3 separate regions of the Mus musculus genome follow, and regions 2 and 3 are each reported to be linked to region 1. Evidence: microRNA targets listed by miRTarBase, many of them from high-throughput screens and not tested one by one. Region 1 holds a microRNA gene; each other region holds the end of a gene's coding sequence.
Evidence for each region. The annotated mature microRNA mmu-miR-468-3p reads UAUGACUGAUGUGCGUGUGUCUG and lies in region 1 at 3,682-3,704, opposite strand. An mRNA with a match to its seed (bases 2 to 7 or 8) in the 3' UTR can be bound and repressed. Matches are read on the target gene's strand: a 7mer-m8 pairs with bases 2 to 8, a 7mer-A1 pairs with bases 2 to 7 and ends in A, and an 8mer does both.

Region 2: miRTarBase lists Rai1 as a target of mmu-miR-468-3p. Seed matches in the 3' UTR shown: 7mer-m8 at 2,219-2,225.
Region 3: miRTarBase lists Tapt1 as a target of mmu-miR-468-3p. Seed matches in the 3' UTR shown: 7mer-m8 at 5,669-5,675.

Annotation. Positions count from the first base shown.
Region 1 is chr6:81,892,921-81,900,115 of GRCm38, forward strand. Mir468 (microRNA 468) reads right to left here and starts at 3,756; the gene lies at 3,679-3,756. It overlaps Mir7232 (microRNA 7232), which reads right to left and starts at 2,743; the gene lies at 2,670-2,743.
Region 2 is chr11:60,196,924-60,204,118 of GRCm38, forward strand. It overlaps Rai1 (retinoic acid induced 1), which reads left to right. Exons shown (of 6, transcript NM_009021.2): 5 at 866-915; 6 at 1,108-2,272. The coding sequence ends at 1,122. It overlaps Srebf1 (sterol regulatory element binding transcription factor 1), which reads right to left. Exons shown (of 19, transcript NM_011480.4): 8 at 7,148-7,195; 9 at 6,876-7,054; 10 at 6,423-6,684; 11 at 6,176-6,342; 12 at 5,839-6,007; 13 at 5,236-5,338; 14 at 4,873-4,982; 15 at 4,657-4,789; 16 at 4,323-4,488; 17 at 3,712-3,912; 18 at 3,503-3,614; 19 at 2,161-3,228. The coding sequence ends at 2,999. Mir6921 (microRNA 6921) reads right to left here and starts at 3,694; the gene lies at 3,615-3,694. Mir6922 (microRNA 6922) reads right to left here and starts at 5,404; the gene lies at 5,339-5,404.
Region 3 is chr5:44,170,685-44,177,879 of GRCm38, forward strand. It overlaps Tapt1 (transmembrane anterior posterior transformation 1), which reads right to left. Exons shown (of 14, transcript NM_173764.3): 14 at 4,475-6,498. The coding sequence ends at 6,269. Among named protein-coding and RNA genes, the nearest start is that of Gm42427, 34 kb to the left of the region's middle.

The sequences.
Region 1 (7,195 bases):
CCCTAGGTACAAGAGGGAATGTGGCCCTGCTTTCCCCTGCCACACCTGCTGGATCCTTGGCTCCAAGAGTTCCTGGCTTGGTACTGCAGCTGTAGCCATAGCTGTTGCCTCTCCATTTACCACATCCTGGATAGGCAAACCACCTTCATCGATAGCGTTACCTTTTGATGAATATAACCATTCTCCCATCCTCTTGCTTATCTAACTTAATTGTCATATTATAAGCTTCTGTGAAGGATGCTAGCTGTATCTCTTTCTTGTGTTATCCCCTCCTTCACAGTTTCCTGTGTGGCCATTATATCAGCCACAGATGCATTTCTTACTACATACAACCAGAGACCAGGCAACCTCTGTGTCTGCTTGCTGAAAATCTCCATCCTAATGCATATTTGAAGGCTGCAAAATTTCCTCTTAAGTTTTTTTAACTCATTTCCGGGCATCTCCATATTCACATGGTAGACTCAAGTAGGCATGTCACCCCATAGCAAGTAGATGAAGACTGCCATTTTGTCCTTCCTCCCACAGACACTCCTATTCCTGATGGCTCAGCCTCAGTTGCCTGTCTCACAACCCCAAGCAAGAATCATGCAACTGCTCCCATTGCAAAAAAGCACACTAACATGTCATACAGGAAATGGAGAATGTATCCCAACGTCCTCCAGGAGTGCTCCTTCTGACAGGCTGCTTAGCCTAGGTTGCATGGCTTGCTCCCCAGAGTCAGCACAACGCCCTCATTCCTCCCCGGCTCATCTTTGATTCTATTCTGCCGAGTCCCTCTCAGATGACGACAATGTTGACAGACTTTTCCTGAGGACATGTCTATTTAACAAGTGTCTATTTACCACAGATAGGGAGCCCATGACTAAAAAATGAAAGGATATAACCAAAGTCCAGCTTGGTGAACCAATCAATGAGTTTTATTGGGGTCACTTACAGGAATATGGGTGAGTAGCTAATTACAGGAACAGAAATGACTCAAAGCCCACTGATAGCTCACAAAAGCTGGCAAGTTGGAGCTTACTGCACAGCCTGCAGGTGATGCAGCAGAATGAAGAGTGTCCATTCCAGATTGTTTAGTTGGCCTAATTCTGTTCCGGGCATCATCTCTGTTGCTCTCTGCTACTTTCCCTCCTTTCTTTCTTTCTTTCTTTTCTTTTCTTTTTTTTTTTTTTTTTTTTTTTTTTTTTTTTTTTTGAGGCTGCTTTTGCTTAGCTGGTCTGTTTATTTTCTGGATGCTTGGCTTTCCTGTTTTTCCAGGCATCTGGGTTCATCTCAGTTGTCTTGCTTTTCAGAGAGAGGCAATCTTTATTGTTTACTATTGGGAGGGAGGGAGCTAGTGAATGTGGACCAGTTTCAGGAACTTCCTGAAGCTGTTTTGGGATTTACTTCCCCCTCAAAGAGCTTCTCTGAAGAATAGAACATTTTAATCTTGGAGGAAATTGCTACAACACAATCCTTTACTTCAAATCGACCATAACTCACCAATTTAGGGTAAGAACAAACTCACCCAAAGGTGACCCAAGAAAATTATTGATTTTTCACTTATTGATGAACAAAGATGCAAAAATTACTCATGAAATACTTGCAAACAGAATCCAAGAGAAAAAAATCCCAGAGACACAAATAAATTGACTCAAGGACAGAAATCATGTGGCCATCTCAGCTTATACACTAAACTGATAAAATTCAGTGTCCCTTGATGATAAATAGCCCCAGAGAAACTTGGAATAGAAGAAACATATCTCATTGTATCAACTGTGTATTACAAACCAATATCCAATATTACACTAAATGAGAAAAAAATCAAACTATCCTTACTAAAGTCTGGAACAAAAAGTCATCACTGTCTCCACCTACATTCAATATTCTACGTAAAGTCTACGCAGTAAGTGACAGAAGTGAAAAGGCAACAAGAAATCAGAGATCTGGTTTGCAGAGGACACGATTCTTTATTTGACACCTACAGACCCCACCAGGAAGTTCTTAAGAACCATCAATAGTTTCAGCAGAGCAGCAGAACACAGACCCAACATAAAAGGAGACACAGAGTGCAGGCTGAAATTCAGTGATAGAACTATGGACCAAAACTTGTTACAGAAGCTGATGGAAGAGAGTCTGAGGACCAGGGCAGGGCACACAGCATCTCCCAGAGAGGAGAAAGAATAGGACCTGCATATTCATATGTTTAAACATCCAATTTTTATGAAATGACCCTTCCACACATTGCATTTGAATCAGGAGTGCTCACACAAGGCTTCCTATTTCAAGTTTAATCCACAGTGTGTTCTATTTCAAAGTGACAAAAAACTTTACGATTGCTCCTTGGTATTAAGAGGCCCAACTTATCTTCTTCCCTTCCTCTCACAATTTTATCTTTTAAAGGTAGGGTCTCTTCAAACAGAAAAAGCCTCAAACTTGCTATGTAACCAAGGCTAAGAACTTCCAATCCTCCTGCTTTCCCAACACTGGGATTATGAGAATGTATCACCAAACCAAGTGTAAGATGCTGGAGATAGAACTCTGTGCTAAAACTTCTGGGATGGAGCGAGCCAGGTTTGAATGTTAGATTGTCTCCCTCTTTTCTGTCTCGGAATGACCAATCTCTGTAACCGATCATCAAGACACCAGCATGCCACCAGAAGAATAAGTAAAGATTTTTACTCAGCAAGGCCCCAAAGTCGAATTCAACCAAGACTTTTCGTGTGCTTGCTACGAAAGCCTTGGAAAAACAATCATCCATGTAGCATTCGCCCCACAGAAGTGGCAAAACAGAAGAGGCCATCCTCTTAAATAACAGACTTTTATCTTGAGAACCTGCAGTTTCCATTTCCTTTCCTGTGACTGATACTCCACTTATGCTTCCCTAGTGCTTAGGCTCCTCTCTGTCGCTCATGGGGGGGGGGGGGGGGGAGTTTGGCATTGTCACCCAGAACAGCTCCCTGGGGTCAAGTACACAAGGACCAAAGGGGATGTTGTCATGACTCAGCAAGTTCATGAGAAGGAGTGGCCATTAAGCAGGCTGTGTGTGCACTGCTGAAGGTTTTGACTGTCCTTTCTCTGCTCAGGCAGGCAGTTGTCGGACCACTGCCAGTGTGTAACAGAGCCCGGATTCCTCTGCTCATCATGGGCCTTTAGAGTGGCATAGGGAAGAGGTTTCCTTCTTAGCCACTGCTGTAGGCACACAGAACCTATATGACATTGGAGCACATGTTATATGTGAGACTAATCAGTTTAAGACTTTTCCTTGAGTCAGACTTTTCATCATTTTGAGTAGGCTGTCCTCAGAAAATGATTCACCAGAACAAGAAGGCTATGTGGGTTAAAAAGAAGATCATGAGAGAGCTATCTGTCGTGTCTGGTTTCCACGTGTCTAGTATTCTATAATCTAAAAAGTTGCAGGCTGGGCGTGGTGGCGCACGCCTTTAATCCCAGCACTCCGGAGGCAGAGGCAGGCGGATCTCTGAGTTCGAGGCCAGCCTGGTCTACAAAGTGAGTTCCAAGACTTCTATTTCAGGCTCCATTCTAGAACATAGGTTCTTTTTGGTTTTTCATTTAGACTTACAGAACTCAGTCTCTTGAGATCATAATAGTAATAAATCATAAATCATAATAAACCTCCCTCTCTATTCGTCCCCCCCCAAAGACAAGGACTCTCCCCAGCCCCACGTGTGTCCTCCCAGACAGACACACGCACATCAGTCATATCACACTGAGTTTCTTATCAGTACATCAGTCACGACACGCCAAGTTTCTTATCAGTCTTTCTCAGGCACAGTTCTGACAAAGAAGGAAATACTGTTTGGTTCTGTGCCCGATCCAAACGTTAAGGTTAGCAGCACCCCTGGGTGAAGCATCTGACTAGGTGACAGTGGTGCCATGTCCCTAGCTCTGACAAACCTGAGTCTCTTGACATGGCCTGTGCTGAAGGGTTGTCCTGCCTTTGACCTAATGCCCTAAAATATGGTATAAGCAGAGATCCACTGTGACTGAGTCACAGTCACAGTGCAGGAGAAGAACCAAAGTCCTCATTGTCAGGTTTGAAGAAGAGAAGGGCTGTTTCCTCTAACTTCTAGTGGTTCACTAACACCATCCACAGCCTCCCAAGTGCTGATTGACAGGCTGGATCACTAAGATAGCTGAGGTTTGCTTTTGAGTGCCTGGTTTTGAAAAGGTAGGTCTCTCTCTCTCTCTCCAGCATGGAGATTAGGTAGACAAGGGCTTTCAGGGTGTGCCTCTTCTCACCCCAGGCACCCCCAGAACCCTGCATGCAGAGGCCACGTCCCCTCAGGGCATCATGTCGATGTCTGCACATTTCTGTACATCTTACTCACTCTGGAGTTCCTTTGGACTCCTTGTGGAGAAAACGAGGAAGCACACCAAATATCAGACATCTGTTAGCACTGGGACAAGAAAGAACATCCTCGGTGTGGGGCTTCCCTGTCTCTGGGGCTGACCTAAAGTCTCCAGGGCATCACAGAGCTGCTGAGACAAAAGCCTCAGGGCCTGAGCACTGGGTAGGAGAAAGGAGCTGGTGTTGCCTCTCCAGTTCAGCACAGACAGGCAGGACGGCAGGGCAGGGGGCTCCGTGCACATGGGACACTGCTGTCTCTCCCACCCTTCCTTCTTCTTTTCTGACATTAGAACTGTTCCCATTTGCCATTTCAGTGCTGTATCTCAGACTGGGAAAATCATTTTCCTAAAGCCAAGAGCCTTAAAGCCAACTCCTCAATCAGTACAACAGAGTGTGAGCTACACCTGGCAGGCAAATCAGTGTAAAGATGACAGAGACGAGAGGATTGTATGTCAGCTATGCAGCCTGTGCCTGGTGACTGGATTGTGCTGCACCAATGGAGTCTGTCCTTTTAATGGACTAATTTATTTTGATGACACAGGTCAGTGCCTCAAAATAGTCAAGCACAAGAATTGATGGGGACAATTCTTATAGATTCATCCTTTGTATCTCAATAAGGCAACTTGAGGACAAACATCTATGAACTTTCTGTCAGCAAGAAACCTGCCACGGTGAACACTCTCACCAGAACATAAGGTATTTCACAGGGAATGAGCAAGAAATTTAGTGTGGTTATCCTATCTGTAGTCAATGACTTTCCCAATCATATGCAGTATGCACAGCACCTTGTTGGGAACAGTTTCAACTTGTGGAAAAGCAGGTAGTGCTCAGCACTGCTCCCTAGCTAGGCAAGAATACACACAGTCAGCAAGTTCATACTAATTTATAGCTGTTTGCTGAGGAATTCTGTAAGTTGGTGTTGATAGTCAGTAGAGGGTTGAACAGTTCTGCATTATACATCCCCTAAGTAAAAGGAGTTTAATACTTGATATTTTATGCTATCTTAAATGTCCCTGGAAGTGAGCATCAGAAAAACATTGGAGGCTTTATTTTTGGTTCAAATTCACCAAAGACTACCAGTCAGCAAGTGTAATGTTTCCTGTCAGCCTTGCCTGGGATACAGAATGCATATATCAACCAAGTTACAGAGAAGAACTATAGATGAACGTTGTATCAGATACAGTGAAGGTTCAAGACTTCCAGAAAGGATAAGGTGCGGACCTGAGCGACTGTCAGTCCATAATGTGCTTTCCAGGCAACGTGAGGACCTGAACTGTAGGCCCAGAACCCAAGTATCAATAATGATGATGATGATAATAATAAAAATAAAGCAGGAAAGTTGTGCACACCTGTAATCCCAGCACTGGGAAGGACGAGACAGGCTGATCCCGTGTAGGTGCTGGCCAGCAACCATTACCAAAGGGGTGAGCTTCAAATCCAATGAAAGATTCTCCCAGAAAAACTGACTAAACACTGACACCTAAAGTTGATGACTGAGCTCCATACTTACATGCACAAACACACAAAAATGCAATGAGGTCAATGCATTTCAAAATTTCAATGGAAATATTGAGCCTTCACTGTTCCTAAAGACAGCTATATAATAAGGATATGGTGACCATGCTCCATGGTTCTTGGGGTATGCAAAAGAGCATGGATTCTGTGTGAGCAAATCAAACCAGAGAGCACTGCTACACTTTGGACATACCCGTGTTGAGAAGACTTTTCTGAGATACGAACTATAAGCCTAAAACTTTTTTCTTTCTCTCTGCAGAAGAAGGAAAAGGAGGAAGTGGCCTAGGATGTTGCCCTCTGATATTAAGAACTTTAAACAGCTTTGTCTAGGGATTTCCTCAAGGTAGACTCTGATCCAACTAGGCCAATGGTTGCTGATGCAGAAAATCCCTGGGAGGAGGTAGGCTTCACTACAACATGGTCATCCACTAAGGCTAAAGCTCCCTAAATAGAAAACACCCAAACAATCCACTGCTGGTACAAGATATAGAAGATGCATGTGAAGATGTAACTTGGGCCAGGGAAAGGATCATTTTAAAAGCTGTGGCTCCCAGCATATTGGCATCACCCTTCCAGGAAGGACAAGTGTTATTCTAGAGGACTCCTCCAGCATATCAACAGCAGCCTCTCTGGCAATAGAGAACACCATGCTAACAAGCCCAGGGAAGTCACCACTGAGTTCTGACTTGGAAAAATCTCGTGTAGAGGTCCTCATGAAGTCAGCAATCCACACACTTCCAGACATAGGTTAAGAATCATACAGTGAGCATTCTTTGGCCTTGAGCCTGTGCACTGGGCAGTTTTCACACTTGCAAAATCCAATGGAGGTTCAAGAGAAAACTGCTCAGTTCCATTCAGAAGGGAGAAATAAGCAAGAGGTACCAGGCCAGGGCAGCACTCTGTCCATGAGAACACCCAATGTTCTCGCAGTTGAGGTCTCAAGACTGCAGCTTTTCCAGGCTGCAGATGGACACTGATCAGCACGTAGTTTCTGGTTCTCAATAGATTGCCATACTCCTACACTGCCCCTTAGAGACTCTGTGTGAAGAGTTTCTCTTGAGACAGTCTCTGTGTTGGCCCTGAGACTGACTGCAGCACCCTTTGAAATCTAAGTGAAGTTCCTCTGGGCCAACAGCTCTTAGGAGAACTGGCCTAAGCATTGCCACGTCAGGCTTTCTTCAGGGAAGAAGCTCTGCAATTTTGGTAGTTTGGCTCAGCCTGTGTCTGAAAGGCACAGACCAGGGAAGCCATTTGTACAAGTCTCAGTCTGAGGCTAGAGACCTGATGACCCAGCCCAAGTCCACAACCCAGATTCTAGAGTCTAGCAGA
Region 2 (7,195 bases), not on the chromosome of region 1:
GCCCTAGAAGACAACCTCTCCTGCAGCTTTCTCAAGTGACATCCACCTCCCTCCCCTCTGGGTGGAGAAGAGGGAAGGAAACAGGAAGTTCTGCACCATCCCTAGTGTGAGATGGGAGGCGATGTCTGGGAAGGTGAGCCCCGATCAGTAGCCGAGAAGGGAGCAATGATGGACCCAGGAGGCCTGTAGGTAGAGCGGACACCAGAGGACAATGGCTAGGTTTTCTTATGGCAGCTGGCAAGGACTCATGATAGCAGCACACTGCCCTGGGTAGGAATAACAACTGGCTTGCTTAGCCATCCTTTGTGGACATCTGGGGGATTCATCTAGACCTGGACCTTGTAACCTCCTACTGCTGTCTCTTAAGAATAAGCCCTTCCGTGTGGAACATTTCCTCTGAACGTGAAGAAGGATCATGAGAGCACACAGTAGGTGACATTGTGATTGATCTACAATATAGAGGCTGAGATTCTGTAGCTGACATTTCAGTCAAGACCTGAGACTCCACTCTGCAGTTGTCAGTCACCCAAGCAATCATGGGGTGCTTTCTGAGCATGGACCTCTCCTGGCCACTGTGCAGGAGGTTGGGTCAGGAGTGGGCATGTCTGAGAATGAGTGTTCCTTCTCCTTTGGGGAGACCTGGGTAGGAGGGAGATGGCCAGGTAGTGGTGGCCAGGGTGGGGGTGGGGCAGGGGGGGTGTCTAGGAGTGGAGGCCAGGAAGGGACATAGCAGGGTAGAGGCAGAGGGGCTGCACCTCTGGGGGGATTTGGACTAATGAGGGTTCTGAGCAAGACCAGGGCATCAGAACTAACACTGGCAGCCAGCCGGCTCTGCATCACCACAGAAACTTTTCTTTGCTCACAGGTTGCACGTTCATTGAGGAGAATTTTACTTTGAAGTGCCCCAAACATAAGGTAGGTGAGCAGGCTCCCCAGAGAAAGCATTCCCTACCTAACCCAGTTTCTCCCTGCCCTGCCAGAGAGTAGGGAGGGGTGCAGGCTGGGTCCTAAAGTTACTTTGCCAGTCTAGGGTGATTGCACAGTTCTTGTGGAAGGACAGGGGTGGCAGCGGCTGGTGATAACAGTAACGGGCTGTCCCTCCCACAGAGGCTGCCGTTGTAATCCCCGTGTGGCCGAAACTCCGAGGAAGAAGAGCTGCGCCCACAGCCGGTCCTTGATCCCATCCAGGGTCTAGGTTCCGGCTGCCTTGGGCGCTGGCGTGAGGCCTAGGTTGCGAAGAAAACCGGGGCCAGGCTTGGCGAAGGCAGGCCAGGGAGTGGCCAGACCCAGGGCACAATGTCTCAGGCGGGGGGCAAGTCCCCTGCAAGTTCTGAAAAAGACGTGGCATGCAAGCTGTGCCCCTGGGAAGAGGCTAGGCTGCTGGCTCAGTGGACGACGTGGGGCAGACCCAAGCCTTTCTTAGAGGCCCAGCGGCGGGGGACATGGCTCAGCACTTGGCATGGATCTGCCCAAGATCGTGGCAGCCTGGGCTCAGGCCAGTCTATCCTTGATGCGGGCTGGCCTGGGGTGGCGCCCTATGGCTTCTGTTTGTCCCCTTTCCAGTCTTCCACCCCACTGTTGGAGCCCCGTCTGGAAGCCTGAGGAGACTGGGCCTGGCTACCCTCTAGCAGATGTGCAGCTGTCCCAGACAAAACACCAACATGGGATTCAGGGACTGCCACTCAGCTCACTCGGCTCATAGGCGGAGACAGTGCTAGATTCGTGTACAAACCTGTGTACCCCTCTATATATATGTTACATAGAATGTATATATGTTGGGAACATGCTCGCTTCTGTGTGTCGCTGCTGTGCGTCGTGTGCTCCACAGCACAGAGCCCTAACCTGGCCTTGGCTGGGGTCGGGGCCAAAGTGATGCCCCTTCCCCGAGCAACTACCACCATCACCACCACCACGGCCAGCCCCCACCTGTCCGTTTGTGTCCTCAGCTCTGTCCACGCTTTAATAGGCCTGATGCAGCCCCTTCTCCCTGCAACGTTCTGTACATATGACTGTAAAATGGTAAACGTGTGTATTATATCTGGCCTCGTTATATAGTGTATATATATGTATACATATACATATATATAATATATATGAAGACTGTAAATGTTAAGACAACTAGTGTTCTTATTAGTATATTGCTTCACACTGAAGATTGTGTGTATCGAGCTGTTTCTAAAAGATGTTTATTTTCCTTAAGAGTTAAAAAAAAAAAAAACAGTCATTGCATTCAGAAAAAAAAAAGTCAATAAAGATACCACGATTGTTTTGGAAGTGTGCGGCCTGTGGATGCCGACCAGATTCCCTAAGGGGTTGGGAGTAGAGGGAAGGGGCCGGGGGACACAAACAGGGTTCCCAGTCTACTCACTAATGGGCCCTGATCCTTCGCCTATGCTGGTGCACAGAGATGACTAGGGAACTGTGTGTGTTTCTGGATATACGGGGTTATTACCTGGTGGAGGGCTGGAAGGCAAAGGAACAACTGAGACCATCAAGGCCCCTCAAGGGTTATGAGCCATGAGATCAGAGGGCCAAGGTGGCTCAACATAGCATCACCAAGCCAGCAAATACACCTTACAACAGATGGGAAGTCCGGCTTCCCAAAGGACAAGCCAGGAAAGATAGCAATCAGCTGAGGCAGACATCTGCCTACCCAGATAAACAAAACTGAAGTTATAAATAATTTCATTTTTTAATATTCTGTACAAAATTTCTCAACCTATGAAAATAAAGTTTGCAAAAGTCAAAGTAGTACATGGGCCTGCCCTGGAGCCAGGCCCAGCCGGATCTACACTATGTACAGGTCTCCCAGGGTGAGCCTCAGCTAGGGAAAAGCCACTAAGGTGCCTACAGAGCAAGAGGGTGCCATCGGGCCAGTGCAGCCTCTGCAATTTCCAGATCTGCCACTAGAGGTCGGCATGGTCCTGATTGCTTGTCAGGCTCACCCTCTGGAAGACCACAGCCAATGACAAAGGTCCTCAAGGGAAAGCTTTGGGGTCTAGCTGGAAGTGACGGTGGTTCCGCCGCCCAGGCGCAGGAGCATCTGCTGGCAGTCCAGCAGTAGCCGGTGATCGCCAAGCTTCTCTACGGTGCGTGCCGCCTCGGCCAGCATGCTCATTCGCTGCCCAGGAGCCGACAGGAAGGCAGGGGGCAGATAGCAGGATGCCAACAGCAGGGCCTCGGTGTGCTCCCGCCATGTGGGCCGTGGCTCCAGCTCAGCTGTAGTGCCTGCACAGATCACATCAAAGGGAGGGAGGCTTAGGTCTGGCCGAGCCCACACCCCATGTGCAGGACAAAGTAGCTGAGCTCTTCCACGTGGAACTCCCAGTCTGGCTGCTTTCTCCACTTGGGCTGGGCACACAGGGGGGCTCAGCTTCTTTCCTATGACTGCCTCAAAAACTGTCATCCCCGCTGATTTCTGTAAGTCAGCTCTCAGTATGTCTCACTAGACCAAGACGGCCCCTGACCCTCACCAGCCCTGTAAGCACAGCCACCTCCTCACCTCCTTTGCCACTGGAACCTGCCCTCCTCCTCAGACTGCGATCCAGGAGCTGGTGTGTCCGGGCAGGACTTGCTCCTGCCATCAGCCGAGCTGTGGCCTCATGTAGGAATACCTGAGAGGCAAGGAGTAGTCACCCGTTTCAGATTTACTGTCCCCCCACTCCCGGCTTCCTACCTCATGCCCCTCAGTGTGAGAACAGTGGGACTCACCCTCCTCATAGCAGGCCGGAAGCTCTGTGCCAACCGCCGCAGGCTGCTCAGGTCATGTTGGAAACCACGCAGCTCCAGAGCAGAGGCCTGGGGTCCATTGCTGGTACCGTGAGCTACCTGGACTGAAGCTGGTGACTGCTGCCGCTGCCACAGACTGGTACGGGCCACAAGAAGTAGATCACACAGGAGCAGCTGCATGGCCTGGGATAGCAGGCAGGGCAGAGGGAGGAGTTTCCCTATGGACATCAAGCTTTCCCTAGCTGAGGGCCACCCTGTCTCAAGGCAGCGTCAGTAAGGGCAGGAAGTCCACAGCACTGGGGCCTGACTCCAGGTTGCATCACTGAAGCACTGCATCTGCCTCAACACATGCACCGCCTCCTGCTACAAGCCCGCAGTCTTCCCAACAATGGCTCCCAACAGGAACCCTGCCAGTCTGCTCCCCACACCCTCCTTCCTGGTGGTGGCGAAACAGTAAAGCCCCCTCTCCCCAAGACTTAAGCCGTCGTTAAAACTGAGGTAAATCCATTTAGCATTATTCTGTACTAACACCAAGAACCTGGAAATGGACAGCTGTGACCCTGGCCTAGACAGGAACCCACCCTACCCCTCACCTTGTCAATGGAACTGCCAGTTGGTGTAGAGGCTAAGCTGTCCCGCAGGTACCCACTGGCCTTCTCACAGATGGCCAGGCTGGCTGGGCTAGATTCCACCTTTCTGTGGTCCAGCAGAGCCCGGGCAGCCTTGAAGGAGTACAGAGCTGCCCTGGGCAGGGGTCTCCTGTTGGGGCCATGGCAGACATAGGAAGTTAGACCAAACTACAGCCCTCCCTGAGATCTCCCGCCACGGTTCTAGACTCCTGGGAGGACAGCACTGTCCTCCTGTACAGATATTTAAGCAAAGTACTGCGGGGCTGACTGGGCGGGAGGGACCTGGCTGGGGACTCACTCAGTGTCCTGCAGCACCTGGGGGATATGCTCTACCAGTGGGTACAAGCGCTCAGCTGCCTCTTCATCCCGCCTCAGCCAGTGGATCACCACAGCTGTCAGTGAGGCCCACCACTTGGCCACTGGGTCTGGGCCTACAGAAGAGGGAAAGGTGCTTGACTTTCAGCCACACTGTATCTGGGTCTGGCAGGAGTCAGGACGGGGGTCTGGAGCTCACCAGTGGTGGCAGCCATGCTGGAGCTGACAGAGAAACTGCAAGCAGGAGCCCCGGCAGCATCAGAACAGCTATTTAGCAACTGCAGATATCCAAGGGCATCTGAGAACTCCCTGAGGCAGGAGAGAGCTGTCAGGACACATAGCAGCAGTCTCGGGTTCTGGGTGAAAATGGCTCTCACCAACCGTCCAACCAAGCATAGTCTGACCCTAGGATTCTACAAAAATACCACCTGTCTGGCTGATAGGGGAAAGCAAGACCCAGAGAGGCTCTGAGAACAGAGTCTGGCTACTCAAGAGGTTGGACAAGGCTTTCCCAGATGCCCTTGTTGTAGGTCTTGCCTGGGAGTGACACAGACAAACTCACCTGTCTCCGTCAGCTGCCCCTGGGCTGGGCTGAGCAATACAGTTCAACGCTCGCTCTAGGAGATGTTCACGGAATAGCCGGGTCACCTGGGCCAGCGGATCCACTGTGAGAAGGGTGAGCAGAACAGAGGTTAGGCACCCTCCTCTCTACAGTCCCCTCCCACACCAATGCCTTAATAAGCTGGGGCCCCAACCCAGAGCTACTTCCTAGTTCCAAACCCTAACAGACAGACAGTGATGGGTCCCTGCCCTCATAAGCTTGATGGGGAAGAAGGGGTAGGCTGTGCACAAGCTACACACTGGAAAGGAGAGCCTATTTAGTCACATACCCATGGCCCTGACTCTGCTCAGGACTCTTCCTAAGACAACAATGGTGTCCCCTAGAGTCACCTCTCATGTCCCCCATTGTCTGCTGACCCATACTGCTTCCTGCTTCTAAAGAACCTTGGCAAAATCCAGCAAAAGCCACCTCATAGCCACCTCACAGCCCCAACCCCACAGGGCAATATAAGCTGGTAAGTGAGGGCATTCAGAGAAGAGGGGACAGTGCAATGTGACATAGGGACAGGGATGAGGCAGGGGTAAGAACAGAACGAGAAAGCACCTGGGTTCCCAGCCACGCTGTACAGGCTCTCCGGGGGGGCACCGTGCACGGCCCAGTCCCCGTCCACAAAGAAACGGTGACCTACAGGGTGGCAGAGCCACTGCATGGCAAGAGGCACCGAGCCGCTCTGTGCTAGGCAGGCCTGGCGGGCGCTGCTCAGGAAGAAACGCTGTAGGGAAGGAACAGAACTGTCACACTGGCTCCCAGTTGGATCCCAGGAGGGCCTACAGCCCACCTGCTAACCACTGCCACATCCTGTTTAGCCCCTTGCCCTGGAAGTGACAGGTTGAGAGTTGTAAAGAGGAGCCCCCAGCCCTGTCCCCATCAGCCTACTCACTGTCAAGAAGTGCAGGGCTCTTGGGAGGCTGGTTTTGACCCTCAGGGCCGCTGCCACATAGATCTCTGCCAGTGTTGCCATGGAGATAGCATCTCCTGCGCACTCAGCCAGGTTGAGGGCACTTAGTGCCAGGTTAGAAGCAGCAAGATGTCCTCCTGTGTACTTGCCTGCAAAGTGGGTGAGGCATGAGGACAGGAGGTGACGGTGTGGTGGGGACCCTCGGAGCCCAGCTCCCAGCCAGCCATACCCATGGCATGCAGCTGGTGCAGCTTATGGTAGACAACAGCCGCATCCCGGGCACTGGCACGGGCATCCTTCCTCAGCCCACGGTCCCTCAGCAGGCCCCCGGCCTGGCCTGCCAGCCAGCGGCCCACCCAGAGACGCTGGAGCAGGTGGCGGATGAGGTTCCAAAGCAGACTGCAGGCCAGATCCAGGTTTGAGGTGGGCAGGGGCCGGCCCAGCGCTTGCAGGGCCAGCCACAGCTGTTGAGCAGCCTGGGGGAAATCTCCCTAGAGAAAAGATTCTCAGTAAGAAAAATGGCAGCAGGGATGGCAGCAGGGTACCCCCTTGTCTGGGCCCCTAGAGTCAGGAGCTCTGAAGGCGGGGGATGAGACAGACTGGAGAAAATGAAGTGAGCAGAGGCACCCAGCACCTTCCAGGCCCGGGGCCCCACCCCGCCTCCTCAGGGTCAGCCCCTTACCCGGGCCAAATCCAGGTCAGCTTGTTTGCGATGTCTCCAGAAGTGTACAGCCGGGCCAGAGTGTGGCCTAGTCACAGGTTCCCCATAGACAAAGAGAAGAGCCAAGCAGGCCAACACTAGTAGTCCATTGGCCAGCCAGACTAGGGGTGGCAGCAACCACTGGGTCCAATTAGAGCCATCTACAGGCAAAGAAAAGGTCTGAGAACTCAGTTCTCCGGAAATCCAAAGTCCCAAAGGTCTCTGCCGACAACACCTGGGCTGACCTGACTCACCTCTGCTCTCTGCCTCCAGCATGCTGCGCCCAGAACTACGGTGTGTAC
Region 3 (7,195 bases), not on the chromosome of region 1:
GCTTCAACAGTGGAACTTCCACCAGCTCAAAGCTTAAGTAGTCTCTAAGCTTATGTTTGTGGGCAAAATGAATCACACAGCAAGGGAAAGGAGGCCATATTTTTGTACTTTTCAATTCAAGGTGGTAGTATGGCCTTGACTCTCAGATATCTCTCGAAGGCCTGGTCCCCAGTTGGTGCTGTTGTTGGGAATGTGGATCTTTGTGGGAGGTGTGTTGTACTTGGAGATGCACGGTATTTTGGAGGCAGGCCCTTGAAAGTGACTGTGAAACTCATATGCCTTTTCCTCTTAGTTTTAGCTCTCTGATTGTTAGGTAAGCAGCCTTGCTTTGCCTCATGTTCCTGCCATCAGGAGCTGCTTCACTACAGGCCCAAAGCAATAGGGAAAATTGACCATGGATTGGGATATGTAAACTTGAAGCTAAGAAAACCTTTGCATTCTGGACTGAGGTATCCTCTGTAAAAGTAGCCAGCTGAGCACTCTGGGTGGAACCTGAACTGCTTTGGTTTTATTTCATCTTACCAAAGCTTTAGCAACCCAGCCTTCTGCTCAGCTCATTCTGGTGTTCAGCATGGGGTTCACAGACCATAGTCTTTCTTTGGTCTCATAGAAATGTTTGTCCTCCACTATGGCCCGTGAGCAAGGCCAGCTTGACCCTGGAGTCACTCCTGGAGCACGGCAGATTTGAAGAGGGTTCATCATGTGCTCGACAATGAGAAACAAAATCAGATAAAAGTTTGGCTTTCCACATGGTGTCAGCGCTGAAGTAAATGGACCAAGTCTGGGGTCAGGATCCTCTTTTTGGAGTTCTCAAGGGATATTGGAAGGCACAGGACTTCAGAGCAGTCTGGAGTCGACACTGCCATAGTATGGCTCCAGGTCTGCATGAGCCCATTGCATTCCATGCAGACAACCCACTAGCCTCCTTGATCCCTTGGCACTGCACTGGGTACCCACACCAACAGTATCTTAGCTTCTCTGGTCCTTAGGCTGGTGTGGATGTCCCCAGCAGTTTCCATACAGGGCCTCCTTTTCCCAACCCTTCTCTTGTAGAACATAGCTGATGGCACAGGGCAAGACTGTAGAAAGGGGTTCAAGGTCCTGCTCTGTCTCCTGTGTGGTGGGCACACATTACTCTTCCTTTCCAGATTGCGTTCCTAGCTGTAGGATGGGGACGACAGCATGCACTCCGTAAGGGGATGAAGATGTAGCAGCTGAGAACCACACTGTGCCTTCACACAAACCTCCAACAGCTATCAGGTATCAGTCCTTTGGGAGGTCAGCAGCCTGCCTTTCTTAACACATTGACCTAATCATAGTACTTGAAAGTGTCCAAAGTAGCTTCTTCACTTATCCTCTGTATACGTGAACTTAACATCCCACAGGAGCTCGCCTCTGTCCAGCCTCTGAGCGGAATCAGGGGCAGAATCCTCAGCCAGGCACTAAGAGCTCTCAAGCCCTGTCTCCATATAGAGTCCCTGCCACCTCCAACCAGAACTGCCTTCCTCTCTGTGGTTTCAGTAGTGGCTGGCTCTCAACACACATACACATACACACACACACACACACACACACACACACACACACACACACAGCGTGTGTTTATGTGTGTATAGGGGCCAAGGCTGTGCTGTAGACATACTGTGTGCTCTTCCCTCTTCAGTGACAACTACCTTGCCCTTCCTCCCCTTACCCTCAGCCCTAATCTAACAAGGCATCTTAAATTTAAGTGCACGTCCCTCACAGTGGCTCTTTTTAAATTCTTGCAAGCAGTACTGTTGGTCTCTATCAGGAGCTGAGGGACAAGGGATGCAGCACCATCTAAGGTGGTCTCCTGTGATCAGTGTCTGCAGACAGGGACAAGAGTGTCTCGTTGTCAGGTGTGCATTTAGCTGCCACTTCCCTTACCCACTAGACAAGATCCACTCACAACCACACAGCAGCACTTGTTCATTTTCGTGCCTCAAAGTAACTGGGACAGTAATGCCTACGAGCTTTCCTGTCTGCATTGCACTGGCCTTGTTAACTCGCTAGAACAGCATCTCTGACTTTCCCAGTATGTACGTTCCTGTGATGACAGGACCCTCATGAACTCCTTGGTTTCCTCATTGCTAGATGAGGTTGTATGTTCAAAGCAAAACTCTACCAACTGATGCTCACTCTTCTCTTCCGGTAACGACATCTCAAGAGCAGCCTCACCGGCCGGCAGAAGACCCCATCCCTCACTACCTTGCTCATGTTTAATCAGTCATGTCTTGTTTGTTCACCAGCCCCTAGGAACTCACCGTTCCCCATCCTTGAAACAAACATTTGAGAATCACTGAAACCTTCTCACCATGCCGATTTCTCCTGAGTAACTCACACCTCCCTCATCACTGACACTCCTTCCCTCACTAGGTGTTTTACAAGAAAACACTCTAAATCAGTGGGTCTCAACCTGTGGGGCCCAACCCCTTTGGAGGGGGGGGGGTCAAGTGACCTTTTCACGGGGGTCACCTAAGACCACTGGAAAACATAGCTATTTATATTACAATTCAGAACACTAGCAAAAATTATAGTTCTGAAGTAGCAACAAAAATAATTTTATGGTTGTAGTTACCACAACATGAAGAACTGAATTAAACTGTATAAAGGGTTGTAACATTTTGAAGGCTGAGAACCACTGCTCTAAAACACCCTGGATGTCTGAGGCATTTAATGAATACCACATACCACACTGAACTGTACCACAGGACTATTTTCGACAACCACTGGCATGGCATCCTTGGCTTCTGAGATATTTTTTTACCGCTTTCTTGGCTCATTAACATTCTACTTCTTGCTGTGCCCTGCGCACCCCCTCCCCCCCCCCCCCCCCCCCGTGTGTGTGTGTGTGTGTGTGTATGTGTGTTTGTAGGTCAGCGATCAACTTGTGTGAGTTGTTTCACTTCTTCCACAGTGTGGAGTCTGGGGATTGAATTCATATTGTCAGGCTTCGCAGCAAGTGCGTTTACCCGCTGAGCCATCTTGCTGGCTCCTTATATGTAAACTCTTACACATTCTTTCCTGACATAAAGGGCAAGAAATACCTGCTCACTAAGTCTGTGAACAAATCAGACTTTAATGTTCATCTCCAGGGCATGAGGGGTGTCAGCTCTGAAATACAGGGAGTAACGGCCCTTCCTGTTTCCTCTACTGACTCACGGTAAACAGGGACTCTACTGTCCACAGGGAGTGTTGCCGCAGCCGGAGTATCAGAGGGGTCTGACGCTCATCTCCTTTTCCTAATGTTGCCACAGACCTGCCTATCAGAGGCTGAGAACACAGGTGTTTCCGAATTTCTTTCTCTTTCATTAGAGTCTTGAGTATTCTAAGCCAATCAGCCATATTCCTTTTCACAGGCATCCTGGGCCTCAGGACCTTGACTCTGCTACTCTGGGGTGCTGTGCAATATACATGGCTAGGGATAGCTACCAGCTTCTCGGGGTTCCAAGGGTGCGAAGTGGACAGACTCGAAGGTGACTTACAGTATGATGGGCATAGACTTGAAAATGGCATATTAACCTCTAGACTCACAGTGAGAGGCCATGAAGCTTGGCTGCAGTCCTGTACACAGCATGCAGGAAGGCCAGAGTCTGGCAGGCAACTAGCAGTATTTGGTGAAAATTCTTTTCCTCTCTCTTCACCCCTTTTTAGAAAGCTCTGGGAAACTGCTACCAGATGACCTTAAGCACACAGCACAGGGAAAGATCAGCCTGACACCACGACGTGAACTGTGCTATCCTTGGTCTGCCATACATACTCGACCAATGTCCAGTTGTGTCCAGCAGGCAGAGACCTTGCTGTCTCCTGCTATCCCTTGCTCTGGGCAGTTCCTGACAGAGGAAACAACTAAGAAATCACTGTGGGAAAAACACTTAGAGCTGAGGCATATGAAAATAAAGTACTTTAAGGCAATCTTGTGAACTCATCTCTGCTGAGCTAGCAGAGGTGGCAGGGCAGGTGGCACAGAGTGGGTGAGGCAGATGCTGAGAAGCTGATTCAAGCATACTTTTTTCAAATGCTGGCACAAGACCACAGGGAGCCAAGATACATTCATCAATAGCATTTGGTACTTTGACCTGTAGGAAAAGCTAAAATGGGTCTGATGTACCGTGCACCATACTAAGACTATTTAAAAACCAAAGTATTGTCTTGACTGTGACTCCCATATTATGACAAGAAGACACTGTGACATCAAGATGCACCATAGAATGCAAATGTTGTCATGTGATAAGAGATACTAAATGGTCTATGACCAACATGCAGGCTATTCTTTCAAAGACAAAAGAGCAATTTTTTTTTTATCATTTAGGGCAAGAGTAACTAAACATACTTAACACAACCCTATTATTTGTAAACTAGAAATAAGTTCTGCTTAAATAAGAAATCTCTCAATGAGATATCCATTCCAACAAATATAATAGTAATCGTTGCCACAAGAAATTCAGTGACCTTTTTAAAAAAGATTATAAAATTGAATTTATTGAGTTTCACACAAGATGCACTTATAAAATTAGTACTGAATGCCATTATGACAGAAGTGAGTATCATCCACACTCCCAAGAGCATCTGCAAAGGAAATGCAATCTTCAGAGAACAGCGCGGAAACAGAAAACTCAAGCGGAACAGAAAGATACACCTAGGTCGTGCTCTTGTTCTGACCAGGGCTGCGTTTGGCAAAGCTTTTTCCACACGGCTCCTGGTTTCCATGGACACTCTCTTTCGGTAAAAAGAATAGTTTAAAAGTGGGGCCCCACTAAAACATACACAAAAGAATAAAAATGTTCATTTTAAACTTAAAATTGCTTCCTGGCTTTACAAGGCATAAATATATAGTATCTCCAACAGCTATCTTTAGATTCTGTTAGTGCAAAACATTAGAAACCCTCCTGAATCTCAAATGCATAAGCCAAAGCATCCAAACTAGTTTTATACTTATCCAGGATACAGCAAACCATTTAAAATTTGCCATCTGTGCCCAAATATTTGCATGAGAGCTGAGTTTCAGAAGACAGCATAGGAAATGAAGTTAAGAGTACCATCTTTTAGACAGTTCAGATCAGAAATGGTCAACTTTCTGTCTAAGAGAAGTGCAGAACAGACTCTTAAGATAAAGTAGGGTGTCGAGAATTTGTCCTGGGATGCTAATAGGTAGTAATGAAGCAGGAATAACATCTTTATCTCAGATGAAAACCCCAGAGCACCTTTTGGTTGCTAGTTACAGTGTCCCAAACACTCTACTTACGGTCGGTCGGTCATGTGAGGGTTTCCTCCCCACACAGAACAGACCCACAGGCAGACAAATGCATTTTACAAGCCCAGCAAGGTGACACTGCTCAATCTGCTGGGAATACTTTAAAACTGTTACTCAAACCAAAACAAAACCCAACAAACGAGCCTGGCACTAGCAACAGCTATGCAATGGCTATTCGCCAATTCAACACCAAATCCTTTAACTTGGAATAACCAATGAAGCAATTAGCCTTAAAGCAAAGCCAGGTCACACTGCACTTGTGCCTTTTACTCTGTTGACATTGCTCTGTGCCTTTTATTGTCACTGGGCCCGTGTCACACAGCTCACACTCTGCCCTGAGTAACCGAGGCAGCAGGAAGCATTTCTCAGTGACACATGACCTTTATAAAGTAAATGACTGGGCCAAGAGCTCACTGTTTCTCATAGGACGCTGCTATTCACCACGTTGTAGTTAAGTGGCCTTCTGTTCTGACTAGCTCAGATGTATTGCCAAGGATGACTCTGGTGGTAAGAACGTCATCTGGACTTAGATGTAGCAACTTGTCAATGCTTTGGCAGATGGAGTCAAGTCTGGAAAGAGTGTGTGGAGACAGTCTGAGGCTGGAAAGGGAACTCATGGTAGAAGCGTCACAGTTTCCCAGGTGTGTCCTTATCCTGAAGAGGCCTTGAGGAGAACCCGACGATCTGGAAGCCCAGGCTGACGAAGGAAAGGAGCTTCTGCAGTGCTTGGCCAGGTGCTGGAAGCAGCACTGCTGTTGGCCACGCAGGAGGAAGTGTTCAAGTGTCAGCATCCAGAGTCAGGGCCAGAGGCCACCGCTGCTCCGTGATCTGCCCTTCTGCAAGGCCACATTACTGGAAGAAAGATACTAAGATTTGCTTGCCATTAATAATTTAAGTTTTTAAATAAATATTTAAGTGCCATTTTTAGCAAGTGTCCTGGCACCCAGAATTTGTGGCCCGGGGCCTGACATCTTCATCTCATTAGTCACAAACTCAGTCAATCCGGTTCCCGCAAATTGTGAACCTGTCTATTTCTAACAAGTCTTTCTTTGAGGATCTGTGCTTTAACTCAGAATTTTCCTGTGTTATGTCCTTCTCATCACCATCTGGGGTTGTCAGGAACTGATCAGAATTGCTAGTCACGAGTAAAGGTATGACGTTTTCTTTCTGATGACCAGGCTGGCTGGTGACGGAGGCAGACAGGTTTTCTTCTGTGGAAAGGCCTGTGGAAAAGGAGATAATTTCTCTTCAGTCACAGCAAAAACTCATCAAACTACTTATGTCTTCAGAGTACTGGAAAGTATCTGTCATCTTTCCTCTTAGATACACCATATGAAAATTAAAAGCATACTGTATAAGCTGTCATTTACAATAAATTTAGAAGCTAGTCACACACTGTTTATCCAAAAATATTACCCATCCCATAGGTAACACTACCACCTGATTCTGGAAAGAGCCTGCCTCTGATTTTGCAGTCCCCTCCCACGTGACCACAATCTCTCAGGACTACTGCCTGAGTAGAAAATAGCACTGGCTCTTTACCCTGACCTCTGGGAAGAGCTAGGCAGACTTACCGTGTTGACTTCTTGTCTATACATTTTGGCTAGACTCAGACTAGTAGCATCATCAGCAGGAAGTCCAACTAGAAGGCACCCTGACCCGTTCACCCCTGCCCAGGAATCTAGGAGGCTGGCAGTGGAGGCACCAGAGCATATTAGGACCCACTGACCTCTGAATTATAAATCCACTCTCTTCCCCTTCCCTTCCCAGTGCTGGGGACTAAATCTAGTACTTTCTGCTTGCTAGGTTAAGTGTTCAACCATGGAGCCAACATTGTCAACCTCATTCAGTATCCTCTCCCCACAATTTGATCCTTAAGGAAACTTTAAACCACAGTGAGTTGTAGATAAATTGCCATGT